Ovis aries: one gene and its partner. The protein of the gene in region 1 interacts with the protein of each later gene in a biochemical or structural test. Links are inferred from orthologs where the notes say so. Each region holds a gene or a part of one and is shown in the gene's direction. Other genes may lie near its edges.

Region 1 (4,271 bases):
TTTGTATTCTAGAGAGAGTGTTCAGGGAGAGCTGCACTAGGAATCAGACTCATTTAAGCAAGCAGAGCAGGGCTGAGTGAGTTACTTCCCACTCCAGAGTTGCGCTAGATTATGTCCAAGGTCCTTTCTAGCTTTTAATATTCTTAGTCTCGTTGAGCACTTGCTATGAGTCTGACACCAAACAGAGCCCTTGCAGGGGGTAAAAAGTGTTGGACTGACTTTATGTCTGCCTTGAGGGGTGAGATGGGGAATGTAGAAATGGAACAGAGGAAAGTAGATGCCCATGTTCAGTGCATCCCCGGCAGAAATGCTGGGAGGTGAGAAAGTAAAGAGGGATTGCCACAGGCCTGAGAAGGTGGTGTTCATTCAGCAGATTCTTCCCATGTGCTGCTGTGCCAGGCCCTATACTAGGTGTAGAGGTACAAGGATGCTAATACCCAGCCCCTGACCCCTCCGAACCTGGTGAGGTCCAGGGACAGACCCATGAGAGCATGTGATGTCCTTGAGGGCTGCCCAGGTTATAGGAGAGGCTTGTGGGTCAGGGAGTAGACGGATGAGGATCAGAGTTGATCAGACTTAGACTGAGTTGTAAATATGTGGCAAGAGTTTTTGGACGAGGTGGAGGAAGCCAGTTCTGTTCTGAGCTGTGTCTCAAGGCCTTGCTACGGTCGGTAACAGTGACACAAATTGGCCTAGCCGGCAGGTGACCACACAGGGCCGAGGGGGAAGGGGTTTGTGTTCACGAAGGGCCCACCTCTCTCTCCCTCCCCAGACTGGCCAAGCATCTGCGGAGGACCCGGGCGGCCGTGGTGCTCCAGAAGCAGTACCGCATGCAGAGGGCCCGCCGGGCCTACCAGAGGGTCCGCAGGGCCGCCCTTGTCATCCAGGCCTTCGCTCGGGGCATGTTTGTACGGAGAATCTACCACCAGGTGCGTAGCCGCCCCCAGGGTCTCGGGCTGCAGACTCGGCCCTGAGCAGCAGCAGACGGCTTGGCACCAACCTCAGCACTTGTTGGGCACGTCTCACTTTTTTCTACGGAATTTCACAACTCTGCTCCCACCGAATCCTGACCAAAGTCTCATGAGGCACAGTGACTTAGGGTTCACCAGAGAGACAGAAGGCATAGGAGATGTGTATGTCTGTGCGCATAAGGTTTATTATGACGAACTGACACATGTAGGTATGATGGCTGAGCAGTTCTCAGTGTACCATGTACACACTGGAGACTCGAGAAACCCAGGGGAGTGACTCTGCCCAAGTCTGCAGGCCTGAGGACCAGGCAGTCATGGTACAGTCCCAGTCCAAGGGCAAGATGGCTCAAATGGTAAGGAGTCTGCCTGCGATACAGGAGACCTGGGTTCGATCCCTGACTCAGGAAGATCCCCTGGAGAAGGGAATGGCAACCCACTCTAGTATTGTTGCCTAGAGAATCCCATGGACAGAGGAGCCTGGCATGCTACAGTCCATGGGGTCACAAAGAGTCAGGCACAACTGAGCAACTAATACTTTCGTTCATTCCGCAAACGTTTATTTTGTAGGGCATTACAGTGAGGACATTGATGATGCTTTAATTTTCTGAGTGGTTTTTTAACTGTATAGGAAAAAAGAAAAACCAAATTACAAGCCAAGTTAACTGTAAACCATTAACCCACTCGACAGTCCCACACAACCGTCTCACTTCGCCTCCAGCTTACTGTCACCAGGAGAGGGTCCACATCTGTTGAATGGGGGGCTATCAGCTGGATAATCTTTAAGCCCCTCTGACTTTGAGGGGTCTTTTAGACTGTGGTTTCCTAGTGAGTTAAAAAAAAAAAGAAATGAGAGTTTGACAGCTGCCACCAGACTTAGTTGCAATTTGTTCATAAGACAGATGGCCACCAAAGCCTCAAGTCATAGGGCAGCTGTAGCTCACCAACCTTGGCTCTCGCCTCTCCGGAGCTGTGCGCGAGCCCCTTGCTCTCACTGTGCAGCGCAGACCCACCAGGTGTGTGCTTGTCCCCCGCTAGGTCCTCAGGGAGCACAAGGCCACCGTCATCCAGAAGCACGTGCGGGGCTGGATGGCTCGCAGGCGCTTCCAGCGGCTGCGGGGCGCGGCCATTGTCATCCAGTGTGGCTTCCGGAGGCTCAAGGCCAAGCAGGCGCTGAAGGCCCTCAGGATCGAAGCACGCTCGGCGGAGCACCTGAAACGCCTCAACGTGGGCATGGAGAACAAGATCGTCCAGCTGCAGCGGAAGATCGACGACCAGGTCAGTGTCTCCACTCCCACCTGGGGGCTGGGGCCGGGGCGAGACTCCATGGGCACGTTTGAGAGAGACCCACAGCTTCCCCAGGGGAGCTCTCAACTGATTCCCACGCAGCTTCACGAGGCCATTCTATGGGTAAGCGAACTGTGGATCTGGAGCATCAAATACTTGGCCAAGGTCACAGAATTAGGAAGTGCTAGAACCAGCACTCCCGGAGAAGGCGATGGCACCCCACTCCAGTACTCTTGCCTGGAAAATCCCATGGGCAGAGGAGCCTGGTAGGTTGCAGTCCATGGGGTCGCAACGAATCGGACACGACTGAGCGACTTCACTTTCACTTTTCACTTTCATGCATTGGAGAAGGAAGTGGCAACCCACTCCAGTGTTCTTGCCTGGAGAATCCCAGGGATGAGGGAGCCTGGTAGGCTGCCGTCTATGGGGTCGCACAGAGTCGGACACGACTGAAGTGACTTAGCAGTAGCAGCAGAACCAGCACTCCAGCCCAGGTCTGCCTGGTCCCACAGCCATAACGAGGGTGATGTTGGTTTCTTAACCCCAAATGTCACTAGAGAGTCAGTCCTTTCCTGTGTCATGGCTAAAATGGGTTTCTAGAGTTGAAAGCAGGCTCATTGGTACCTTGGGCTTGTAGGGTACTACTGACCTCAGTACCAGGCTCCTGGAATGCCTAGAGGGTTTCTGGCGCCTTCTGAGAAAGAAAAGGCGAGGATGGAGGCAAGAAAGGGGGTGAACATGCCTGGTGCAAGGGATGGAGAAAGAGAGAGTTGGCGTTGCCTTGGTGGTCACTGGTCTTATTGTACCTAGTCTACACTAGGCACTTTTTAAAGCTTCTCGTGATCCCAGTAGGGCAAGAAAATAAATGAGCCATTTTACACCTAAACCAGCTGCCCTAAACAGGAGTCCCCAAAGTAGTCAAATGTTACTGTCTCTCTGTTCTTGCAAAAAAAGACCAACCTTCTGGAGAAGGAATTGTCACCCTGGGTGTTTGTCTCTGTGTGAGTCCCATGGGTGTCTCATTTGGCTCGGCTCCCTGGTGGAGAAGTGAGACAGAAAGCTCACACAGGGTTGGCCCACAGTGATAGATCAGGTCAGGGAGGAAGACGCAACTGCTCAGAGCATCAGGAGTAAACAGGAAAAATGGTTTTCTGGGCTCAGCCATGTGGAAAACACAGGTGCAAGGCGGAACTGTATTATTGCTCTCGTTGCCATCATTCTTATTACTTTATGGCTATTGACGACTGGCCGGGAAAGACATTCGCATAGTCAAATTGCCCCCATTAACTTTCTGAGCAAACAGTGTGGTCAGAGGAAGGAGCAGGCTTTGCAAGCACCATTGTGCCGTGCCCAGAGCCCCATGTACTGGTCGCCTCTTCCAGCCATTGGTCCCTGTGTTGTCATTGCTGATTTCCGAAGTTGACTCGAGATGTTAAAAATAAATCTAGTATTTTACACTCCACATACTGGGATGTCAGATTTAAAAGACCTGTTTTTAAAAAGAGCTTTTTGCCTTAAGCTTCCTACTTGGCCAACATCTATGAGCAGTGGCCAGTGTTACGCTCCTTGGGCAGGGTGCCCTGTGTGCAGAGGGTGAGGAGAGAAGGCAGGGAGGGGTAGTTAGGTCTTGTTTTCTTATGTCCCTCCCCCTGTTGCTCAACTGTGTGCCAGGCACTCTCCTCACCTGTTAAGTCATTTAATCCTCACCACACCCTGTAAGATTTAACATTATTCCCATTTTAATCTGAGGCACAGAGAGGCCAAGTAGCCTATGAGGTCGCAAAGCTAGGAAGTGGCATGGTTAAGACTGAAACTTGGCAATTTGGTTCCAGAGAATGTTCTGCCACCTCCAACCACATGTGGGGATATCTGCATATTAGGAGATTCTTCAGACATGTGAGAATTCCTCAGTCTAAGAAAGACTCTTGGCTTTGTTTTGAGTTCATTCTTGTAGATAGGGTCATCCTTGGACCAGCCAGTATTTTGTAGTGGAGTGTGTGACCTGGCGTCAAAAAA
Region 2 (4,271 bases), on another chromosome or scaffold:
GGAAGAGGCTTTGACCCATTTTATATAAATCTAAATTACACTTTGGGCTTCCCCATTGGCTCAGCAGTAAAGAATCCACCTGCCATGTAGAAGCTGCAGGAAACACAGATTCGATCCCTGAGTGGGGAAGATCCTCTGGAGGAGGGCATGGCAAGCCACTCCAGTATTCTTGCCTGGAGAATTCCGTGGACAGAGGAGCCTGTCGGGCAACAGTCCATGGCGTGGCAGAGTCAGACACGACAGAAGTGACTTAGTGCACACGCACGCAATTTACATTGTAAGCAATTTTCATGATGAGCAAACTGTATGGAGTAGTCTCCCATGTTAACAAAATTCTTTTAATAGCTTTTACAGAACTATTTTGGCTCAGAGGCTGAATATTATTTTATTAAAATTTGATTGTTATTTATTATTTTATGGTGCTCAAAAATAGTATGTATTGATGAATTATTTCAGGGTCTCTACCTCAGTGTCTTAATGCTAAAAAATATTCTTCAGCCATGAGCCACATTTGGACTAGAAGGAAACATAATAGCTATTATTGGTAAGAAATTTTGATGTGTGATTTTCAAATCATGAAAGAAAAAGTTGTCTAAATAGCTTTGCAAAAAAGACTGGTTCCTTCTGCATGTGATACATGGCAGAGACCTCCCTGTTTTTTTAAATGAAGCCATGAATAAAACCAGAAACACTCTGGCGACAGTTTCTCCTTCAGTGCTTGGACTGCCTTGATGTAGAGTAACTTTACCTAAAAAGCAATTTGTGTACAACAGAGCTCGATAATCCTCTCTTCATTACATATTACAACCCAGTTTTTCCTTCTCTTTAAGGTGGTTTAGATTAGAATCCAAACAAGGAAAAAGAGCCAAAAACAGGGGTGAGATAAAGGTCAATATTCAATTTATGAGGAACAATATGACAGCAAGTATGTTTGACTTATCAATGAAGGACAAAACAAGATCTCCTTTTGCAAAATTAAAAGATAAGATGAAAGGTAGAAAAAATGATGGGACCTTTTCTGATACATCTTCTGCAATCATTCCAAGTTCTCACATGCCTGATGCCCATACTGAATTTTCAAGTAGTGAAATACAGATGAAATCTAAACCAAAAAAGCCTTTCCTTTTGGGTCCTCAGCGACTCTCTTCAGCACATTCAATGTCTGATTTAACTGGGGCCCACATATGCTCGGAGAAGCTGAAGTCTGGCACCGTTGCTCAAACGCATCTTCTTGGCCGCCAGATAGATTCCTTTGGAGCAGTTCCGGAAAGTGGTAAGTGATGTATGCGTTCTTTCTGGTTGATCCTGTGTGATCTGAACTACCTTCCTAATTTTTAAAGTTTGACTTCTAAAATTAGTAACAAATTGAGGTTTCTTGCTAGCATTTCCTAAATTAGTCATCAGATATTTATTGAGTACCTACTATACTGAAAATTGGTAAGTTTAAAGACAGAGCTGGTCTGAATTCAATACTGTATTTATAGAATTAGATGAGCCTTGGTCTCTTTTCATGGCCTGGTTTTTTTTTTTTTTTTTTTTTTTTAACTGTCATTTCTCCTGTCTCAGAAGCCTGAAACATAAATGAATATTCCATTTCATCAGAATTTTCCTAAAAAAGAATCTAATTGTTCAGAAGTAAGAAAGTAAACTTAATACTACTGATGAAAAAACAGTGAGAATTTCTATAGCACTATAATGCTGAGCAGAACCTTTAGTTTTGACATTATAATTTGTTTATGTGATTGTTTCATTCTGAGCTGAGTAAGTTACTAATAGTCCAGCAATATACTAATTGTTATTAGCCTACATACTGCTGTACCTTAGCATTTTAAGATTGTTTTCCTTGCTTATTTTAAAAGGTTAATATCTTTAAATAGCTAATTGCTCTCATTCTAAAACCAGTAGTATGCACACAGGATGTGTCAAATAGTGTGATATAATGTGTCACTGATTATGTACTAACTACAAAATTGTTTGCAGGAAGTCTCAAATCTCCACACAGAAGAACATTAAGCTTTGATACTTCTAAAATGAACCAGCCTGACAGCAGTGTGGATGAAGGTGAATCGTCTTTCGGAAGACAAAATGACCTATTTACAAATGTGACTGCTTCATTACCCCAAAAATTTGCAACACTGCCAAGGAAGAAAAATCCATTTGAAGAAAGCAGTGAATCATGGGACAGCAGCGTGAATTTATTTTCAAAATCAATTGAAGTAAGAAAAGAAAACAAGAGAGAAAAAAGGGAGAAAGTCAGCCTCTTTGAAAGAGTGACTGGAAAAAAAGACAGACGATCTGATAAACTTAACAACGGGGGAGCCGATAGCCCTTGTGACTTGAAATCACCTAATGCGTTTAGTGAACATCGGCAGGACTATTTTGATTATGAGTCAACTAATCCGTTTACAACAAAATTCAGGGCTTCAAATATTATGCCATCTTCAAGGTAAGCTTAAATGTGGGGAAGTTGTGCTATTCTGGAAAATATTCTACTTGAAAGTATCAAATACCCTTTTTAAATTCCTTTCACTTTATTTGAGAAAAATGCTAATCTTGTTTTCATAATTAATTTTGGAGCCAGGCGGTGTGTACATCTTTGGAACTGAACTTTTTATCTTAGAAGGATAAAAGATTCTTAATCCCCACCGCATTATATTTCTTTCTACTTAACGCTGGCCAGAAACTCTCAGAAACTTATGGAGAACACTACGTAGCTTTTGATGAGGTGTGGTGAGAGGGAATCACCAGTGGGTGCTAATTCAAGCCAGAAATCTTAAGTGATGAGTTGGGTTTCTAGATGTTATTTTTCATTGATTGGTTGTGAACCAGTAGCAGCCTATGGACTATTCTTTAAGAAATACTGGCTTAAGTTAAGTATTAATGGTTTTTGTGAAAACGTTAGTTGCTCAATCTTGTCTAACTGTTTGTGACCCCATGGACTTGAAGTCTGTTATGTTTCTGTATCCTTGGAAGCCCGTGGTTTCTTTGTAGGTGATGACTGTCCTTATTAAGGGCTTCCCAGGGGCAAGGGTGTGGTAAAGGATGCTCCTGCCAGTGCAGGAGACTGAAGAGATGTGGGTTCAGTCCCTGGGTCTGGAAGATACCCTGGAGGAGGGCGTGGCAGCCCACTCAGAGCTTTTTTGCCTGGAAAATTCTGTGAACAGCGGAGCCTGGCAGGCTACTGCCAGTAGGGTCATGAAGAGTTGAACATGACTGAAGCGACTTAGCATGCACATACATCCTTATTAAATGGCTATTTGGAGTAATGTTTATTGGAATCCAGTGAACCTTGGGGGTACTATAAATACATCACAGAGTATCTGTAATGATGACTTATAGAAATAATCTATCATGATAAGGTTTAGACTGTCAAAATCCTTGAGTTTTCAGTTATGTTAATAGTACTTTTCTAATTCCTTAGTACAGATTGGAACTGTATGGCCTAAGTAAGATGATGCATTTTGCAGAAGTGAATGGTGGAATAGCTGATTAAGGAAACCTCAAGCAAAAAATAAGGTGGATCTATTGGAATCTTGTGCAGCTATCATGGAGGAGCATGGTAGACTGTTTGCCGTAAACCATAGTCGTTCCTGAGGCAAGAACATGTGGTGGTCAGACTCCAGTGAGAAACCTCAGTGGCTCTGTGACCTCTCTCAACTTCCACATCTCTGTCTTTGAAATAAGGAAAATGAGACGTTCTCAGTAGGATTGGGGGACGATAAATGATAAAGTACGTGGCATAAAGCCGGGCCCCAAATAGGGAACCCATAAACAGTGGTTGCTGTTACGTTTTATATAGTGCCGTGTCATATTTTGTTCAAGAATGTTGCTTTGTTTTGTCCCACTATAAACAGAAAATAGTGCTAATAATCGCCCTTTTAGGCTTGTGATCTCCTGCCTGTCTTCTGATCTCTTAAAACATGCATTTAGAGTTTTCCAGGGAAAGTTAGTATTTCTTTCGTCTTCTTTTATCAAAATAAATGGGTATTCACTGTAGCTTTGGAAAGTATTGTTCAGTTTTCTTTATCGACTATACTTCAAAGAAATATGTTTTTATCATATGGTATTAATATTTTATTGAGAAGTCCGTGGTTTTGATACGCTGTTCTCAAACATTTCAGTTTTTTATTTTGCATGCTGTACTTCCCATATTGCGTTAGAAACTACAGAGGTAGATAGAAATGCAGTTGCTTTTTTCTCCCTCAGCTGAACTTTTTTTGGACAAAGTTATTGCCAAGAACTATCTGAGATAACTTAGAGACTGGGTAATT

What was found.
Region 2: the proteins of MYO5B (region 1) and RAB11FIP2 form a complex in vitro, tested with the Homo sapiens proteins (2 studies listed by BioGRID). The link is inferred for Ovis aries from reciprocal best matches to the Homo sapiens genes MYO5B and RAB11FIP2.

What each region holds. Positions count from the first base shown.
Region 1 is NC_056076.1:49,853,891-49,858,161, reverse strand, and holds part of MYO5B (unconventional myosin-Vb), read left to right. Parts: intron 1-772; coding exon 773-929; intron 930-2,006; coding exon 2,007-2,246; intron 2,247-4,271. UniProt on the Homo sapiens protein: May be involved in vesicular trafficking via its association with the CART complex. The CART complex is necessary for efficient transferrin receptor recycling but not for EGFR degradation.
Region 2 is NC_056075.1:37,836,606-37,840,876, reverse strand, and holds part of RAB11FIP2 (rab11 family-interacting protein 2), read left to right. Parts: intron 1-830; coding exon 831-1,273; intron 1,274-1,980; coding exon 1,981-2,446; intron 2,447-3,421; coding exon of another isoform or gene 3,422-3,446; exon of another isoform or gene 3,447-4,271. UniProt on the Homo sapiens protein: A Rab11 effector binding preferentially phosphatidylinositol 3,4,5-trisphosphate (PtdInsP3) and phosphatidic acid (PA) and acting in the regulation of the transport of vesicles from the endosomal recycling compartment (ERC) to the plasma membrane.